3 linked regions of the Drosophila melanogaster genome follow. The protein of the gene in region 2 interacts with the protein of the main gene of each other region in a pairwise test. Each region holds a gene or a part of one and is shown on either strand. Other genes may lie near its edges.

The links.
Region 1: the proteins of Spn42Dc (region 2) and Sap-r interact in a two-hybrid assay, tested with the Drosophila melanogaster proteins (one large-scale study listed by BioGRID).
Region 3: the proteins of Spn42Dc (region 2) and Acox57D-d interact in a two-hybrid assay, tested with the Drosophila melanogaster proteins (one large-scale study listed by BioGRID).

What each region holds. Positions count from the first base shown.
Region 1 is NT_033777.3:30,882,622-30,890,889, forward strand, and holds Sap-r (Saposin-related), read right to left. Parts: upstream 6,442-8,268; 5' UTR 6,313-6,441; coding exon 6,264-6,312; intron 6,206-6,263; exon of another isoform or gene 6,119-6,205; coding exon 6,040-6,118; intron 4,284-6,039; coding exon 4,001-4,283; intron 3,927-4,000; coding exon 2,099-3,926; intron 2,030-2,098; coding exon 1,554-2,029; intron 1,497-1,553; coding exon 1,355-1,496; intron 1,297-1,354; coding exon 1,292-1,296; 3' UTR 843-1,291; downstream 1-842. Other genes in the region: CG15547 (uncharacterized protein), read right to left, coding at 1-306, 362-450, 507-778.
Region 2 is NT_033778.4:6,878,704-6,883,928, reverse strand, and holds Spn42Dc (serpin 42Dc), read right to left. Parts: upstream 2,935-5,225; 5' UTR 2,852-2,934; intron 2,282-2,851; exon of another isoform or gene 2,173-2,281; 5' UTR 2,167-2,172; coding exon 1,291-2,166; intron 1,221-1,290; coding exon 1,079-1,220; intron 1,010-1,078; coding exon 816-1,009; 3' UTR 600-815; coding exon of another isoform or gene 587-599; 3' UTR 522-586; downstream 1-521. Other genes in the region: Spn42Dd (serpin 42Dd), read right to left, coding at 1-315, 587-599; Spn42Db (serpin 42Db), read left to right, coding at 3,214-4,065, 4,124-4,265, 4,439-4,611; Spn42Da (serpin 42Da), read left to right, coding at 5,060-5,084.
Region 3 is NT_033778.4:21,387,428-21,393,306, reverse strand, and holds Acox57D-d (acyl-Coenzyme A oxidase at 57D distal), read right to left. Parts: upstream 3,903-5,879; 5' UTR 3,809-3,902; coding exon 3,667-3,808; intron 3,249-3,666; coding exon 3,086-3,248; intron 3,025-3,085; coding exon 2,732-3,024; intron 2,670-2,731; coding exon 2,264-2,669; intron 2,210-2,263; coding exon 1,703-2,209; intron 1,647-1,702; coding exon 1,541-1,646; intron 1,468-1,540; coding exon 1,312-1,467; intron 1,253-1,311; coding exon 992-1,252; 3' UTR 868-991; downstream 1-867. Other genes in the region: Acox57D-p (acyl-Coenzyme A oxidase at 57D proximal), read right to left, coding at 4,176-4,436, 4,501-4,656, 4,730-5,342, 5,404-5,809, 5,873-5,879.

The sequences.
Region 1 (8,268 bases), on a different chromosome or scaffold from region 2:
CACTGCTGCTCTGCGTTTTCTTGACTCCCGGCTGCGCGGCCCGCGCACTTGGCTTCGGAGCATAGGTCATGGTGGTCTGCTGCGATTTGTCCTGGATAGCCACATCCGGTCGCTGCTGGCACTGGTTGCTGATTTCCGGCATCTTTGGATTGCTGCGCACCAGGTAATCGGAAACACGCACCTTCCAGTTCTCCTGGCTGCAGTCGGTGTTCTGCATTATGTCGTAGATCTCCTCGAGCAGCGGCTTAAGCATCGGCCTGTTGCAGAAGTTGTTGTGGTCGAACATTTGATGGGGCTCGTGAATATCTGAAAAATTCGATATATTATTTTTTACTTTATTAATCTCTGTATCGCTACTTACAGTTGGGAAAAATAAAGTTTATCTCACGAGCCACGCTGTAACTGTTCTTGGTGACATGGATATTGCGTTCCAGATCCGATGCCGAACCACTTAAAGTCAAATTGTACCTAGAGAACTTATTATTTTATTTTAAAAGCAAACTCACAAATAACAAATCATGATGTTGAGCAGCTCCTGCACGGCGTTTTCCTTCGTAACTATGAACGCCTCGGAAACACCCTTCGAAAGCAGAATGACCTCCAGCATAAACCCCTTTTCATCGGCATAATCGGCATAGAACTCGGCGGCAGTTTCTGGCGAAAAGGCAATCCGTCGATTACCCTGAATCTGGAAGCCCTCGGCCAGCAACTTTAAGAGCACCGGACGCCGCTTGTGCAGATAGTCCGGCTTAATGATAAACAGGGAGTTCTCAAACATGTCGGCTAGAAAATATATACTATTCCAAGGGGAATTGGGAATTTTCAATAATGTGCTACTATGTCGGTTTAAGTTTTCTGTATGATTTATAAGATCAATGTTCGTATTTTACACAGTTTTGCTTGATATCTTAAACTACACACACTGCTCAAATGACTTCGGACACATGGGGATATCGATACAAAGTTTGCGGCTCGTGAATTTCGCTAATTTTTATGTTGAAATTACGATAAGGGTACTGCTTAGTGTAAGTGTTAGTTTAGTTAAGTTTAACTTTTTTCAGCCGGCGTTTGAGTGCGTTTATAAATTCAGTTTCATCACAAATTCACCTAACAAATTTAGAGCCAAAAACCGGGGTACAAAACGAAAAGTAAGTAATTATGTTTCATTTACAGTAAATCGTTATAGAATGTAAACAGATATATGTAAAGGTATATGCATATATAAAGCGTGGGATCGGGTCCCTTCTCCTTCAAATCCTCCGCGCCTGGTTCGTACATCACAACGCATCACTTAGGCTGTTGAAGATAGTAAATTAGTAAATGTATTGTTTGGGTCCTTCAACCTATAGCTTACCTGAAATTCTAGCAAAGGCCAGCGAAGACTTCTCGCTTTCGAAACACTTGCCAATCTCGGCGCAAATATGCGACTGATCAATATAGGGTCGTTTGGCCAAGTTCTTAATGCTACTGCCATAGATGGAGATCATCTCAGAGCACTGCAACGCAAAGGAACTTATAGATATTTATAACATTCAGGATTGTAAGTTACATACGATCTTGTAGTACTTGGCTGGCAAGTTCTCGCATCCCACCGATGTCATCTGTAGGGCTGTCACTTCGGATACGTTATCTTTCTTCTCGCGCAGGAAGGGCAACAGAGCCTGGGTGACTCCATGGCACACACCACACTCCAAAACTTCATCGGTGACGGCCACGCTGAAGCAGAGCTGCAGTTTCTGGCACACCTGCTTGGGCGGCACATCGCTCAGCAATTTCAGGACCGCAGAGGCATATCCATCGACGAAGGTGTCGCACTGTTTGCGCACCGTGGCTGGCAGGCGATTGCACACGGCTTCAATCGCTCGCTTAATGTCGTCCTGTTCGGTCTTATTCTTTAGATCGGCATCCAACTTGGTCATGATAAATTCGCAAAGGACGCAGGTGGGCGGCTCCTTGATGCTGCTAGACAGCTTGTTGTCCTGGCGCGGCAGAGCAATCACGTCGTACTTCAAAGCCTCATCCACTTCGACTGTATTACGAAAATGAAATTCATTAGTTTAAACGTATACTTAACGTAGCTCTAGAATTTAATACTCACGATCATCCAGATCAGCCAGGATGCACATTCCCAACTCCGTGCAGATAAGCTTGGGATCCATTTCCTTTAACAGCAGATCGGCGATCTTATCGCCGTACTTGTCGATAACCTTGTGGCATTTAGTGTTCATTGGCTTCCTCATTCGGTCGCAAGACTCCTCCAGGATATGCTTGATGCTGTCTCTGGTGGGGTGCTTGCCCATACGCTTCTCCAAGGTCTTAACCAACTCCTCGCAGATCAGGCAGTTCGGAGCAGCGGTGAATCCTGGGTCGAAGGCCAGCTGAGGGGGCAGCTCCTCAAGGGACTCAATGTCATTGAAGCTGATTTCCTCACTGCTGGATTTGTCCTCACCATCGACATCGTCCTCCAGCGAGATGCGCAAGTCCCAGAGAGCGTAAGTGGTCTTTGGGCAGAGCTTCAGTTGGACGCAGATCTCCTGCGGCTTAAAATCTGTGATCAGCATGTCGATCAGCTCATTGGAATAGGTGTTCACGAAGTCTACGCATTCTTCCTTTATCTCGTTGGGCAGATGGCTGCAAAGGCCATTCAGAACCTTTTTGATATTATCCTTGGACTTGTTGTCGCGGATCTTCATCTGGGCCTGCTCAACGGCAAAGAGGCACAGAGGGCAAGTTGGGGGATCCTGCTCATCGCTGGCTGGCTGGGGATTGAACACTTCGACATCTTCCTTCTTGGGCAGATTCTTCGGGCACATCTGCATGAGGGGGCACACGTCACGAGGATTCAGTCCTTGGACGAGCAGAGCTATCACAGCATCGCCATACATCTCCACGAAGTTGCGGCATTGACCGGCAACTCCCGAGGGCAGTTTGGCGCAGATGTTCTCCACGGTGTGCTTGATCTCGTCATCCGTGGAGGGGGTAGCCAGAGTCTCCTGAATGAAATGCAGCATGTACTCACACAGGGTGCACAGCTCTCCACCCTCGACCAAAGCTCCGGGATTAGCTGCACCCATTAGGTGATCAATGGGCAGCTGCATGTCCAGGATCTCTTGCTGGCTGAACTTCGGCTCACTGGCGCCCAGTTGCTTCTTCTCGTGCTTCTCCAGCTTCTCGATGGTGATCTTTACCTGAGCCGGCTCAATAACAGGCAGCAGCGGCATGATTGGGACATCCTTCATCGAGGAGGCGGAGTTCTTCTGGCAAATGCCGATCATGCAGCAGGCTCCATTGGCATCTAACTTGCTGACCAGAGTCTCGTAAATCACATGGTAGTATTGGTCAACAATGCTAAGGCACTCGTCCTTGAATCCCTTTGACTGCTTGCAGAATCCTTCCATAACTTGCTTGAACTCCGTTTCAGTGGTGTTGGCCACCAAGACGTCGCGAAGGTGCTTTACTAGTTGCTCGCATAGTTCGCATGGAATATCATCGCCGGCATCCAAGGCAACTAAGGCTTCTTGCGGTTGCTTTTCCTCTTCATGCTGGTGATATCTGGAGGCACACACTCCGGACACATGGCACACGGCATCCGTGGTCAAGTGCTTGCTCACATGGTCGTAGATATCATTAAAATAGGTGAGCACAATGTTGGCACAGGCGTCTGAGAAACTAGATAGCGATCCGCACATATGAAGCATCGTTTCCACCATGTCATCGCGATCGGTAGCCGCAAATTTCGAGTGCATCAGGCGGGAAAGCAGGTTGCAGTTGCCGCAGGAAAGTTGGTTAGGCTGCATGGCCAACTCGGTCTCCTCGGAGCTGTCATCTTCATTCTGGACGGTTCCATCAAGACCAGCCTGAATGCCGTTCTTATACAATTCGTCGATGCGAGCACTGTTGCAAAGTCCGGCCACAGAGCAAACTTGCTGAGGATTGAAGGGAAACATTTTATATATCAATAAAAGGTTTAGGAGGATGTGTTGTAGAGGTGAAAACTCACATCTGGATTCATCTGCGAGGCCAGGGCCTCGACCAACTCGGGCAGGAAGTCATCGGCCACCTTGATGCACTCCTTCTGGATCGGCTTGATCGGAATCAGCTTGCAGGAGCCCTCGAAGACCTCCTTCAGCTCCTCCTCTGTCTGGTTGCTCTTCAGCTGGTCGCGGGCCTGAGTAACCATGTCCTTGCATATCGTGCAGATGGAGTCCGTGTCCACCGGCACCTTTTGGGTTTCCCAAACGGTTTGGATGCAGTGGCGGGTGGCACGACATTCCTTGGAGTTGCTGGAAAGGAAGCAGACATAAAGTTAGCAAACTTTTTTTTTGCTGTTAAGATAAACCCATCAGAGTAAGCAGTCGGATACTAAGCTGATTGTGCGAAATGCCGCTGTTCGGATCAAATGACCCGCATTCGTAATCGAGTGGCCAAGCCAGAATCGACGAGTCAGCAAAGACCAGAGTCCACTAAAAAGGGAGTAGTCCCCTATCCACTTTAAGAATGCACCCACAGCTCACATGATAATGTTGGGTCTTCAATGAATACAACGAAGCATTGGACTGGTAATAATTTTGATTTTTGAACATCCGAGACGGAACGAAATGGTTTAATAATCATCAAACTTATGCTGACTAAATCAAAGCCCATATCATCTCATATAAGCAAATAGCATTTAAAGCACAACACTTTGATGGAAAGTAACCCTATATTTGTTCAATATAAATCGATTTGACTGATTCGAACGGAAAGTGCTAATTTCCATTAACATGAAGAGACGCCTGCGGTGGAATCGCCAGGAATACCAAACAAAAGCGTCTAAATAGCAAAAAATCAGCACTGATAAGCACGGAAATAAACAGTACATATGTATGAATGATATATCTGGACGTATCCACGTATATATTATTCACTTGGCTGCGCATTCACAGATATTGTTTTCTGAATTTTCAACAGCAATGGCGACGTTTTTAATTTTTGACACTCTGCAATTGAGAAACAAAGAAACGGTTAAGAGCCAGAAATGGCGGATTTTCCTGGCCATTTAAAAATAAATCAATCAATAAACAAAGGAATTACGACTAGCGATAAGCGATGGATGGGTGCTTAACAAATGTTTTCAGTTGCCTATTGATCGCTTTTACTCTATTAATGATGCAGTCCATGTAAATGTTTTCAAGTTTATCTTGGTGTAACATACATACATATGTACGTACAGTATAGCTTCTGTAAGGTGATCCTTTGTGGCCGCAATGTAATATCACTCCATTGAGGAATTTACAATTGTGAGTATGGCTAAGATAAGGGTTTCAAGTGCATTGTGATTGTGTTAAGGCTTAGAAGTTGCACTTTCGGATGTTCCCCTGTACTCATCATACGCCTGAGGGATTAGTCAGAATTCGTTGATAAGGAACAACTGTTGCCGCCTACAGCGAATTAACAATGATAAACAAAGCAATCATGTGGTTTGTTTGGCGGTGCACAGAAAAGGGAGCTGTGTCAAAACGATCTGCTCCTCTGGATTACTCATGCATATAATCGGTGTCGATAAAGTTGTGCCCCCTACGAGCGCTTAACTCTGCCGTCTAAATGTTCCGACTGGCGGTACTGTTAATTTGATTTGTACAGCGAATGTGCAGACAAAGGAAATCCAGAAATATGGGATATGAAGGCAGAGAGTATTGCGAAAAGTGCACTCAGAGAAAACATCGAGTCTGTAAAACAATACAACGCAAAATAAGGGGACGCAATTAGAGCGGCACTAGTGTTAAGTTTGCAATAACAGGGGTTATCGGCGAATAGAGCTATGTAGAGCAAAGTGATTCGATTCCCGATTCGAGTGATAGTCTTATCGGCCGAGAACAAAACAGAACAGACGAGTCTTCGCTGCAAACAATGGGCAAGTGAGGCGGAGAAGTAATATCGCTATTTGGAGGGGGGTTAAGAGAGGTTAGCTTTTCGCCTTCGAGAACTTTGTGGTGTTCGATGACCAAGCGATTTATCCGAATATACCGTTTATTGTATCACCCACTTTTTTGCACTCACCTGAAATTTCCGCACCAGTAGGAGGGTCCCCAGGTGCACTTGCTGGAGCCCAAAAGGGGCGTGGCAGCGGCGAAGACGCCTGCAAGAAAGCAAACAAACAAAGAGAGCAACGGTTGAGGAACAGAGTGCACAGCACGAATACGCAATAAGCTATGACTAAACTATTATTGTGGTTCCCTTTCAACGTCGCTTTTCGCACTTCTCTCCATCTCTTCTCCACTCACCAAAGGCGCAGCACAGTGCCAAAACGGCCAAGAGGCCTGCTCTCTCCATTTTCCCGGTTTTAACTGTACTTCTTAAATGTCGGCGGAGATAGTCCTCTATTTGCAGCTACGTATTTATTTCTGAACGAAAACTGAAGTGCAATTGCAACGATTGGTTCAATTTTTTATTTGTCTGTAGTGTGGCCGCCGTCTGTTTCGTCAAATATATACCGTAGCGATATAATAGTGCGACCAGTCAGCGATTGAATTATTGTTAAATTTATTTAACGATACTTATGGAGCAAGACTTGGATAATGCTTTTAGCATAAAACCAACCCAGTGTATACTTAGCAATCAGGGGGGAGCATGGACTCGAACCGCACTCTGTTAATAACAGAGATCTGTTTTTGCCTTTCAAAAAGCCATAAAAACCTCCGAGGAAGCTATCATAAAATGGGGTCAGCAAATCATTAAACTTAAAATGGTATAATAAACAATTAAGTAACCGATATGAAACTATTAGATTTGGGCCACCTTTCTATAGGGTGTTAAGTACATGGAGTACTTGAATACGTTGTCCTTCAAATTATAACTTCAATTATCGTAGAAGAAAATTATTGCTCCTAAAGTCGGAACAATTTATTAAATCACTCACTCAATCAACAAACAAAGCCTTCGCCACCCGCAAATGCCTCACAATGTATTTATAATCGATTGCAATCCGCAGATTTAATTACATATTGCCGCGACGAAACTATGACAATAACCATCAGCGATGTTCTTGAACTTAGCGCGGTTATTAATACGCCCCTTTTTGCCCAGCCCCATCGCTTAACCCCCCTTTGGCCAACTTGGCCAACTGTGCGACGTGAACTGGCAGGCACATGATTAAATTCTATTGTAATTGCGGGTTAATTGATGTGAGCCTGCCCAGATGTAAAGCTCGCAGGCATAAATGTTGGGGAAAATGCATCTCACTCGTAATGGCCGGCTAGTAGATTTTTCTCGCGATGCCTATCGGCGTGTAATTCTCGATTCCGAGGTGCGTATCAAGATCTGTGTGAGAATCGTCTGAAGATACATTCGCAAAGAATGCCAGACACATTCTCACAGCGATTGAAAGTCGAGGTCATCTGGTGGTGTTTGCCCAACGAAATGCCAAATGCAAGCGCCGATCCGGCCAATACGGCCATAACATGGCTATATCTGTGTCAAAACCAACGATTTGGCTGTTCAGGGGCTTAGAAGGAAACCTGAAACCTGTCGTGTTGACCGTGGATTGCAACGCCTGCCGTGCATTTCGGTTCTTTGACGGAGATTAACCCACTGAGACCTTGCTGAAATACTTGGTACTTAGAACCAAAAATTGTGGAAATATTAAATTGCACTCGATTAAATAGGAATTGAATTTAAGGTTTATGTGACCTTAGGCGAGGTACCATGGGGTAGTAGAGGGTTAATTGCAGCCAGACACTGCACTTGACACTTGAAGTCTGGCTGCGAGATTGATATTATGGCAATTGAGTGGACCGCCGCCAAAGAACAAGTAATCAAGTTCAGCAGTGAAGGAAATTTAGGCAATTAACACGCTTATAAGTGAAGCAGTAAATCATTGGACTAACGTTTAATTTCGGAGTTTCAAGAGCGAGATAATTTTCTGCTTTTATCCGCTTTTTTATGTCATTCATAAATTTGTTTACTCTAGAAGCGACTGCTTGTTTGGGTCTTTGAATTCAGCCAAGCCAAGTTATAGTCGGACAAAGTACAAAGTACGCCTTTTATTCCCTCCCAATTAACTTGGTCAAAAATCAGGTTCGGAAAGAATTAAATGCATCCATCCACAAGAGTGAAATTTCCGGCAGTTCACACGCTGGCAGATAAAATCGAGGCTCGAGATACATTTTGTGTTGAGTGACCCGCGGAGAGATTGGTAACAACTCTAATTGCCGCGATTGCCAAGTGCGTCACATAAGGCCCGTCTAATGGCTAATTGTTTATGGCCACTTTGGCTGACCTCTTGGGCAA
Region 2 (5,225 bases):
GATTCAGGCTGTACTGGTCGTTGACGTAGATGCGATTCGCGAGCTTTAGTATGGGTCCCTCCTCCTGTCCCTGAAGATCGTTGAGGAGAGCACCGTACCTGGCTGCCACCGCCTCTTTGTCCTCCGATGGTAAACCTAAGGCGCTCTGCAGCTCCTTGGCCGTCGAGCCTTCTGCGCCCATGAAGACCATGCTAAGGATGGTCTCTATGGAGACGGGCGAGACGACGAGGTTCTGGTTTGTATGGCTCTTGGAAAGTAGTTGGTAGATCTCTTTGGAGGTCTGACATGCCACTGAAGTGACCCACAGGAAAATGCCTAGTTTGGGGATGTTAATTATCAATTCGTTTTCAGCGTTCGGAAATTCTGTTCATGCATATTAAACTTGATATTTTTTACTTTTACAGACTAAAGCAAATCGAATTCAACGAAAGCGGATAGTCTTTGTAAGTTAAAAGTTAATGCCATAGCAAACGTCTTCACCATATTGTTTTATTATTTTCTATGAATTTAATTTAAATCATAAGTTATTATAGGTAATTTATTGCTTTGTATTTTAATTCACTGGCTATAAGCGATCGCCACTTACACAAGTAATACATTTGACCGTCTACAACGAACTCTTCCCCGAGATAAGTATCTCTGTAAACTGAGCGCCGAGTGCCAAGACGAGCTCATATATGCACTGGACATATATGTACCTACTGGCGATACTTCATTACGTTACTGAGAACTGCGCACACAGCTCTCTCGGATTGAAATCCAATGACGTCTAGTGGGATTTCATAGCTGAGTTCTATTCGGTCTCACTGCTGTTCTTAGACATTGTACATGTTGGCATCGAAACCTTCCCGTGACAAGCCCTCCTCTCCTGATCCAGATCCAGACTTGGGGTTCGAGAATCGGCCGGCGAAGAAGACGGCCTGCGGGTTTCGTATGTAAAAGACGAACGGGTGATCCGCCTTGAAGAGCTTCTTGTTCATGTTGAGCATCATGGGTACTATCTTCATGACTGAGTGTGGGAATCAGAGTTGAGATTAGTACGAGCAAGTTTGAGTTGCAAGCAGCTGATTTCACTTACAACTGACTGCTGCTGCCTCCGATCCTGCCTCATTTACGTCGATGTAGCCGCGGTGCCTTGCTGCCGAGATTTTTTGGCCACTTTGCGAGGTAAAGAGCCCGTCTAGCTTGGCCTTATCGCTGAAGACTTCCGTAATACCCAGCTGAGAATAAATATCAGATATTACATTGTTATTAAAACAAAGCCACTATTATCGGTTAAATGTATCTTACCTGATTAAGTACCTGCTTGAGGTCCACGTCGTACTCTATGCACATCCTGGGCAGAAAGATCTCGACATCCTGCAAGGTCAGCGCTGCGTCAATATCGGCTAGATCCACGGTGTTGAGTTGCTGCTCTAACTCCTGCAGACCGTTTACTTCGTTGGGCAGCAGAATTAGCATGTGAATGTTTGAGTAATCATAGGGCAGTTGCACAGCTCGAGCCTTCAGCTGTGGCAGTTCTGCGAACCGGAACTTGTCCTCTTGGTACATCATATTCACCTGCACGTGAGTGTCCCGGTCCACGTGGAAATGGTCAATCGATGTGGTCTCTGGCATAAATGGTTTCTGCCACTTTCCCTTAAAGTACAAGACATTGATGAGCAGGGCGCTCGTTTCGTTGTTCACGGCATCCGATTGAAGCAGGTTGGTGATCTTATGCTCCGTCTCCTGTTCCACCCAGTCGTTGATCAGCTGCGTAGCTCCCTCCGAATCGGCGAACCTCGTCGCCTCGGCCTTCGACTGGAAGAAGTCCACGGCGATCTCGTTGAACTCGGTAAGCAGTTCCAAGGAATCGTTGACGTACAATCGGTTCACGGACTTCAACACGGGTCCCCTGTCGCCGTAGTTACAGCTCGTGCGCCAGAACTCTCCGAAGTTTAGGGCTATGTGATGGCGATCTCCTGGTCCTAGCTGAAGCCCATTCCTTAGCTCCTCTGCTGTAGATCCGGAAGCCCCCATAAATGCCAAGGTCAATGCACTTTGGACGGATGCTGGAGAGAAAACCGTATTTATGTGGGGGTCTTTGCTCTGTTGCAGGGCATCTTTGGTAATGACATCTATCAGATTTCGCGCAAACTGATTTCTGCCTTCTTGGGGTTCGCTCATCTCGATCTGGGCAAAAAAATATATGTTTTAATTTATATTTTTAAATACTTAAATGTAACATAAGTATACAAAAATAAGACATTTTCGGGCCAAATCTCATTATCTCATTTGGCATTATCGCCAGCTGTTAAGCGCCAACTTGATCAATCCAGAACAATTTCGAATTCGGATTCAATCTTTAATAAAATAAAACATTTTCAAAATTGCCTATGCTAATTAAAAATAAATCCGAAATCCCAGAATGACGTATTAGCTTACAACTGCTACTAGGTGCTACTATTTATTTTAAAATAATAATAATAATTCCCTATTATATTTTTAATAGAACCGATGTAGAAAGTAAAGTGAAGTCAACTAGAACTTGCTTTCGTCATAACAAATTGCCTTATAGCAAACGACGCGATAGTAATTCAAAGATAAAATAACACACGTCACCTGATAAGGTTGTTGATGTTTTCAGATATTTAAAATTTAACAATACCCTCTACTGCATAGAGGGGATTACTGCATATTTAGATTACCGTAACTTAGCCTACTAAGTAAGTTTCGGAATTTCTTTAATTTACAAATCATCGATCAATGTGGACATGAAACAATAAATTTCTCTACGTGCACTGATAAGCTATTTTGGATCGGCGAAACAGGTGAGGGCGTCGCTGACCCTATGGGTGCGCTGATAACTTACACCGGAAAAAACAATCTCACGGATACAATCGGAAGGCAGCCGGAGAATGAGCGTGGTTTCCGTCAAACTGCGCGGAATTGACTAACGCCGCGAATCGCAGTAAGTCAGAACTGAACGAACTGCAACTCGATTAGATAAATTCCAAGAGAGTCTGAAGTGGCAAGCGCTCTCGACGGAGAGAAGTTCCTGGCGTACCCGAAATTGGAATGGTGTTGATAGCTCATCTAGCTTCTTATTAAAATATTTGCTCAAACTGCTGATAAGTCAATCTGAATCTCTTTCGAAAAATGAGTACTCACTGATTCTTCTATCGTAGACGCATATTTAACATATTTAACCTGAGATCGTCTGCTTTCTTCATCATGAAAGATGAGGAGTTCGCACAGGGCTTGGAACAATTCGCTCTTTGTCTGCACGACCATTTGTGCCGGGCAAGTGCTGGCCTAAACATCATCTACTCCCCATTATCCATCCACATCTCTGCGGCCATGCTGCGGATGGGAACATCCGAGGGATCGGCTACAGCTAAGGAGATGGACGAGGGGCTCCGTTTCGGTGGGCTAGAAGCTCAGCAAGTAGCTGAAAGCTTTGGTGTCGTCCTCAAGTCCTATGAACAGTGCCAGGTTCTTAAAATGGCAAACGGCCTATATGTTATGAAGGGTCTCCAAGTTGACGAGCAGTTTGGTCACATACTAGAGCAGAAGTTTCGCTCCAAGCCAATGGAGATTGACTTTGGCAGCGAGCAGGCTGCCAGCATAATCAACAAATGGGTGGAGTCACAGACCAACAACCTGATCAAGGACATAATCGGTCCAAGAGTTCTTACCAAGGACTCGCGGCTGTGCCTAGTAAACGGTATTCACTTCAAGGGTGAGTGGTCAATCAGTTTCAATGAAAAAGAAACCCGCGAAGAGGATTTCTTCGGATCGGATAGACCTACCAGAGTGAGAATGATGCATGTGTGCGAGAACTTCTTTTTTGCCGTACTTCCCATGTTCGAAGCCACTGCCCTTAGAATGAATTATAGTGCCTGTAATTTGGCCATGATCATTTTACTTCCTGATGAGAAGTCGAATCTCACGAGCCTCGAAAAGAAACTTAGTGATATTTCCCTAGAGGTAGTGTCATCAGCAATGAATCTGGAAAAAGTGGATGTGAAGATTCCTAGCTTTACAGCCGAGTTCCAGCAAGAACTATCCCAGGTTTTAATGCTGGTTAGCTGAAATGGATTTGTTATTGAAATTTGATTATACGCAACCTGGCTACTCACAGATGGGCATGAACCGAATATTCAGTGGTCAGGCAGAGCTTGGGGGAATGCTACAATCCGAGGAAAGCCTTTTTGTCTCCCAGATCGTCCACAAAGCATTTATCGAGATTAACGAAGTGGGCACTGAAGCTGCAGCCGCAACGGGTGAGCCTGCAAAAAAAAAAGGTTCCAAAACTTTTGGCAATTTGAAAGCCTCTTATATCTAGTACTCCGGATATTCTTACGAATGTCATACGAGGTGCTAAGCAAGTCCAATATTAAAAATTTCACTCAAATATGTATATATTCGCATTAACTAATTTAAACTTCTTGTTCAGCTGCGGTTGCCACATTTAGAAGCATGCCTGCGCGCCAAGGACCTCCAAAGGTATTCCACGCTAATAGACCTTTCTTCTATGCTATAAAGGACAACACCCATGGCCTTCTATTTGCCGGTCATTTTATCACAACCAAGGTTGAGCAGTCTGAAAAATGTAACACATGTACCTAAAGGAAAAATAAATATGTATATCTTTGGCGTGGGAAATAGTTGAGAAATAAATTGTACTTCCACTTAAGTTACTTATTAAACATTTGACACATTAAACGTGTAGGAATTATCTATTATTTATTATTATTATTATTATTTATTATTATAACATAAATCTGCCTTTGAAGGTATATAAAGGGTGTTATTCGATTCTATTGACTCATTCTATTGACTTCTCCCTAGAATTTTTGGCAAAATATAATAAACAAATTTAGGTAGGGAATGATTTCAGTTTCAGCTTTCCTCTGTTATCAGGGAACGGAAAAAATCCCATTATTGTCGAAGACAATAACAAGCTCAAGCTGAGCTTTGGCTGATAAGGTCGCAGTAAATCGTGTGGACCTGAAGTCAGGCCAGTCTATTACGTACGCTTTGCAGACTAGGTTTACTGTAAGCAAAATTACTGAGTATGGATTATCGTTTGGTGCCATGTGGTGAGTTATCCGGCAGTTTGACTTTAAAAAGCCAGTGAAAGAAAACGCATTATGGATGTAAAGAGTGAAATCAATGAGAACACCGAAGGCAGGCGAGAGAAAAACCCGTTTGGGAGCACGAACTGAAGAGAAATCATTGTT
Region 3 (5,879 bases), about 15 Mb from region 2:
TCCATGGCTAAGAATCAAAATCGGATTAACGCATTAATTATTGTGCATTTATTTAGTTTTTACGTTCGCTGTCACTGACAATTGTTTAGTTTTGCAAGCAAAATACAAAAGCGAATACGAACGACAACAACAACAAAAAGGAGAAGAAGAACAACAACAAGAACCACAGCAACAAATCATAATCACATGCAATAGTGAAAATTAATTGTTAAGTTTACAAGGCGATTTCAAATTAAACTAAAACAAAACAGTCCAGCAACAAATGTTATACTCACCCACACCCTCATACCAATCAATTAGCTGCAATACTTGTTTAATTGTTAGTCAACCAATATTCTCTCTCCAACTCTCATGCCATATTTTCATTGCGAAAAGAAGTTACGAAAAACGAAAACTAATATATAACATATAAGTATATAATTAGCAACATAAATCAATTGTGTGTGTAACTGTGTATAATGCATAAATAATGAATTAAACCTACTACTACTTTGACAGCAGAGCATATAACAAAGGGAACTTTCGAACATCATCAGAGAAGTGAAAACTATTTTCCCCCTTTTCCGGAATCAAAACTGCAACTTACACACAAAAACATGCACACACTTCTCACACACACACACACACACACACACACAAGCAAACAAGAAAACATGAGCAACAGCAACTGCAACAGGAACTAAAACATTTTTCTGAACACAACTTTTTCTACACTGTAAAAAACGCAACCGCATCGTTTTTGATATGTACAAGTACTATGTTTGTTCAACTCTCGACCCATAGTACGTTTTGTCAAATTTTACATCAACTTTTTTTGCTACTTTGTAAGCGTTTAGTTTGTTAGTTTTTTTTAAAAATGCGCTGAATGTACTGAGAAATTGGTTTTGATTTGCTAAATAAAACTGGTATAAAACTAATTTAAACAAAACATGTAGTTTCTCTACTTCAATATAACTCTCTATACACATGACTCGGGTCGGTCGTGTTTGCTTTACAGCTTAGCCTTCATCAGGGGCTTCAGGTAGGTCTCAAATGATGTTTGGACGGGCTTCTGGTTCATGGTGCTGCGTTTGGCCGAATCGAAGAGCCTGGGATACACATTGCCATCGTAGCTGCCCAGCACGGAGTTTAGCACACGGTCGTGGAACTCGAATCCATCGCATATGGCCACCGCATTGGGTCGGAACTGCGCCAGTGAATCCTCCAAGCGTTTTTGCAGCGATCGCAGATCCGCATCGCTTAGTTTAATGAACTGGCAAGCAAAATGGCATAATTAACAATGCAGTAAATGGAAATGAGAGGAAAACTCACTCTTAAAATGTCATTAAGGTTATTAAGCACCGTTTGGACCAGAAATAGTTCCAGCACGTTCTCCAATATCTTGTTCAGTGCGGGGGATCGCTTCTGGGCCTTGGCACCAGTGATCTGCTCCAGGAATGTTTGGCACACAAACTGCCGGCCATGCAGCTGAAATATGTTTGCATAATTGTCAAATATAGTCATCTACGTGGTCATCTCTAACTTTGTTTATATTACTTACCTCAGCTGCACGAGTCAGTTCGATTCCCGTGTTATTGGCCGCCACACCTTGAGACTGACCGCTGGCCATGCGATTCGCTAGATTCTCGAAAGCAATGCGGGTCTTGCTGCAAATTAATCATGTAAGCACTAAGTTAAAAAGATGCATTTAAGTCAAACTCACTGTGCAGCCGTGTATTGCAAAGCCTTGATGATGCACTGCCAGGAGTCGTCCCATTTGGGGAACTCCTTCAGCTGCATGGAGCTGGCAAAGTAGCTGTAGGATGCCGATAATGGTTTCTTGTCCACGAACGAAGCCCATGCCTTAACTAAAGCTCGTCCAATTTGCAGAAGCAGCACCGTGTTCTCGCCTTCGTAGGTGTACGCAGCCACAGCATTGCCATAGATGTTGCTCAAGTTGGCGGCGATGAGGTAACCATGTCCTCCAGTGGACAGACGAAGTTTTTCAATGCCAGCACAGCCGTCAGTGGTGCAAAGGACCTTGAGCGCGCAGGACAGGATGTGCATGTCGGGCAGTCGCTCGAACTTGCCGTTGTTGGCTTCCTGCACCGTCTGGGCATACATTTCCCACATGTACTCGGTGGCCAGATGGTAGGCGATTCCCGTAGCGATCTCAGGGAAGAGCTTCAGGCGCTGGGTCACATGATCTATGATCTGGGGCTCGGGTTGACTGTCGGTACATAGACATTAAGTTTTTATTCCTGCAAACACCATCGCAACTTACTTGGGCTCAATGGGACTCTGACGCCGCACTGCCGAGTATCTCGTGGCTATGGTTGCCGCCGCCAGGAGCAACGTGGAGTTCTGGCTAACGATCAAGCAGCGCGTGTACACCATGGTCAGGTAGTTAATCCTCGATGCCGGGCTGGCCTTGAAGGTGCCATCCCGCTCCACCTTGGCGAACTTCATCAGCATGTTGGTGCGCGGAATTCGAACGTGGTTCAGTCCCAGGAAGCCCTGGTTCACGGATGCCATGCCGAGCTTCTTGCCAATCTCACCGATATCAACACCCGGCAGTGGCATGTGAGTTTCGGAATCTCTTAACGGCACAATAAACATTTGCACGCCATGATGAACATCGGCGATATATAGTTGGGCTACTACCATTGCATGATTGGCCGTGTGTCCCACTAGAGATGATAAGGATGGATTAAATGCATATTTGGACTACAACTATAATTAAACTACTTACAGCCGCCGGGCCACCATTTGTAGGCCTCCAAGTTCGGTGTATTTAGCACAAACTCATCCGTTTTGGGATCAAAGTCAGCCCGAGTGGCCAAGCCACGGACATTGGTGCCATGGGCCAGCTCCGTTTGGGCGTAGGTGCCGATAATGTTGCAGTTCTCCGCCGCCTTGCCCCACTTCTCCACCTGTTCGGCAGTGCCCTGACCTTTGATCACATCCACGAACATGGTGATGTGGGTGGCAATCGGATGATTAGCCGGAAAAAGTCCAAAGCTCTGTGCATTGAATAGTCCTCCACTGCAAATCGAGCGGAAATAAGATTGAAGAAACCTTTTACACACTTGCGTGTTTAACTTACGGCCAGATGTCAGTTCCTCCAGGATTAAGCTTGTTCTGCAGAGCCTTGAGCTTAACAGCTGCCTCAGCCACCTTCTTCACCGTGGAATTGTAGACCTCCTCGTGGGACATGTACTCATGGTTGAGGCCATAGCCATCCTCAAGATCGCTGAAGATCGCTTTCTCTGTCGATTAGAAATTACACTTCTTATACAACTTTCAATTATGAACAGAATAAGTGGTAGCAATAAAAGATAGAATCAGTCGTAAAGATAATGGTTCGATTTATAAAGTGTGACTGTGCCCTTCGTTATCACCTGGGGGTGTAGAGCAGCCCTTTAAGCTGATAAGAAAATTAGCTTATTTGCAATTGCAGGGAATCGTAGATATCACAAGTGCTATCACGATCTTTTATTATTGATAAAGCAATAAAGGTTTTAATTCGGCTGCTCAACAATGTATAACAATAATTGGACTTCGGGCCATTTGATGAACTGTTTGGACCCCGATTTTTTTGATGGCAAAGAAGCTTTAATTGAACAAAACCTGTGCCATATCACGAACACCGGCGTGACGCTAATGATTTTTATCTTTAACAATTACCGATTTCGCGCTTCTTCTTCAGTTTGTCTTGACCACCGTGCCACCAGGCGGAGAATTCCTCCACATGGAATTCAGCTGCAGCACGTTCCTTTTGAAGATCTGGATTCACTGTGCTCGGTATTAGGTTTTTAATATGCGACATTGTTGTGTGCAAAATAAAAATACGGAATTGTTAACAACTAAACTATGATCCACCACTAGATCCAATCAACAGCTGTGAGCTCCACGCGACTACTGAGCGAAAGTGGATGGATCGGCGAGAATGAAAAGCTTTTGGGGGGGCAAAGTGCACAAGACAGCTTTTCAAGAGAGAAAGCTGATCGACAAAGCAGCAGATGTTCATGGCTTGGCAAAGAATTCATTTAAAGAGCGGTATATGTTGGGTCTATATTATTAAAGAGTATTATTTACAAAAATAATACAAAACACCAATACATATGGGGTATTTACAATACATTACATTGAGCCTAACTCTAGATAGGTGGTTTAATAAACAGCTGTCCAAGGCACTAGATGTTTGACTTCATGAACGGCCTCAGGATCTCATGGAAGTACTTAGGCACTGCTTTTTGGTTCATCGGATTCTTGAGGGCCGCATCGAAGATACGCTCGTAGGCATTGCCATCGTAAGAGCCCAGAGTGGAGTTCAGCTGCAGATCGCTGAAGTCAAAGCCATCCACAATGGCCACAGCATCTGGTCGCAGTTTGGTGAGCACTGTTTCCAAGCGATCCTGCAGCCCGGAGAGATCCGTATCGGTCAAGTTAATGAACTGTGGAATAAGAATATATTAAGTTAACATTCAACACATTCTAGGCTAAATAATTGAAACCCACTCTCAGCAGGTGACCCATTTGATTAAGTGTCTCCTTGACTAGGTACAGCTCCAACAGGTTCTCCAGGACTCGATTGAAGTTAGCTGAGCGCGTCTTAGATTGAGGACCGGTGACTGCTTCATAGAAAGCACTGAAAACAAAAGCACGTCCGTGGAGCTATGGGCAAGAAAAAATTTAGAGTTTTTCAGAAATCGGTAGGGCACAGTCCAAGTCACTTTAGCACACTAACCTCTGCCGCCTGGGTGAACTCAATGCCCGTGTGATTAGCTGCGTTCGCTTCAGTTTCGCCCCTTGACATACGTTTGGAAAGGCTCCTGAATGCCAACTGTGTTCTATTGGCAGCTGCATACTGCATGGCCTTAACCATGTTCTCCCAACTTCCAGTCCAGGTGCCAAACTCCGGATTCTTTTGCACCTCGGCCAAATAGCGAACGGTGGGCGGCAACGGAGCTCCAGTCAACGCGGCTCGCCACGTCTTCATTAAAAAGCGACCGATCTGCAGAAGCAGTACGGTGTTCTCACCCTCATACGTGCAAGCTGCGGTGGCACTAACGTATATACTGCTCATGTTGGATGAGGTGAGGAATCCATGACCACCACAGGCCAGTCGCAATTTCTCTACACCAGAAGCGGAGTCCATGGAGCAGGTAACTTTCAAAGCGCAGGACAGAGAATGCAACTCCGGCAGACGTTCGTATTTTCCGTTTTCTATATCCTCGATGGTCACATCGTACAGATTCCACAAGTAATCACCGGCCTTTCGGTATGCCACGCTTGTGGCAATCTCTGGGAAGAGTTTCATTTGTTGTGTAACATGATCCATGATCTGAGGCTCTCGTTCGCTGAAAATAAACAAGGGACAATTGAATTCGAATAAATGTATCTACGTTGTTAACAACTTACTTGGGATTAATTGGGCTCTGACGGCGCACAGCCGAGTATCTGGTTGCAATGGTGGCAGCAGAAGCCAACATCACGGCATTGTTTTTGGCAATTACACAACGCGTGCGGACCATGGCAAAGTAGGTAAGCACATTGGTGGGACTACTAACATAGGATCCATCAGCCTTCACCTGAGCATGTCGCATCAGCATTCTCGTACGAGGAATCCGTACGTTCTTTAATCCAAGGAAACCATTGTTTACGCCAATGAAGCCCATTTTCTTGCCAATATCACCGATGTGGACGCCGGGCAGTGGTTCGTGGGTGTCTTCATCACGCACCTGAATAAAGAACATGTGCGGACCCTTGCAGTCGCCGTCGATGTACAGCTGAGCCATAACCAGGCAGTGATTGGAGCTGTGGCCCACTGAAAATTTATAGTTAAACTTTAATATCTGAAAACCGATTGGATCACCATGCCAGAACTTACAGCCTCC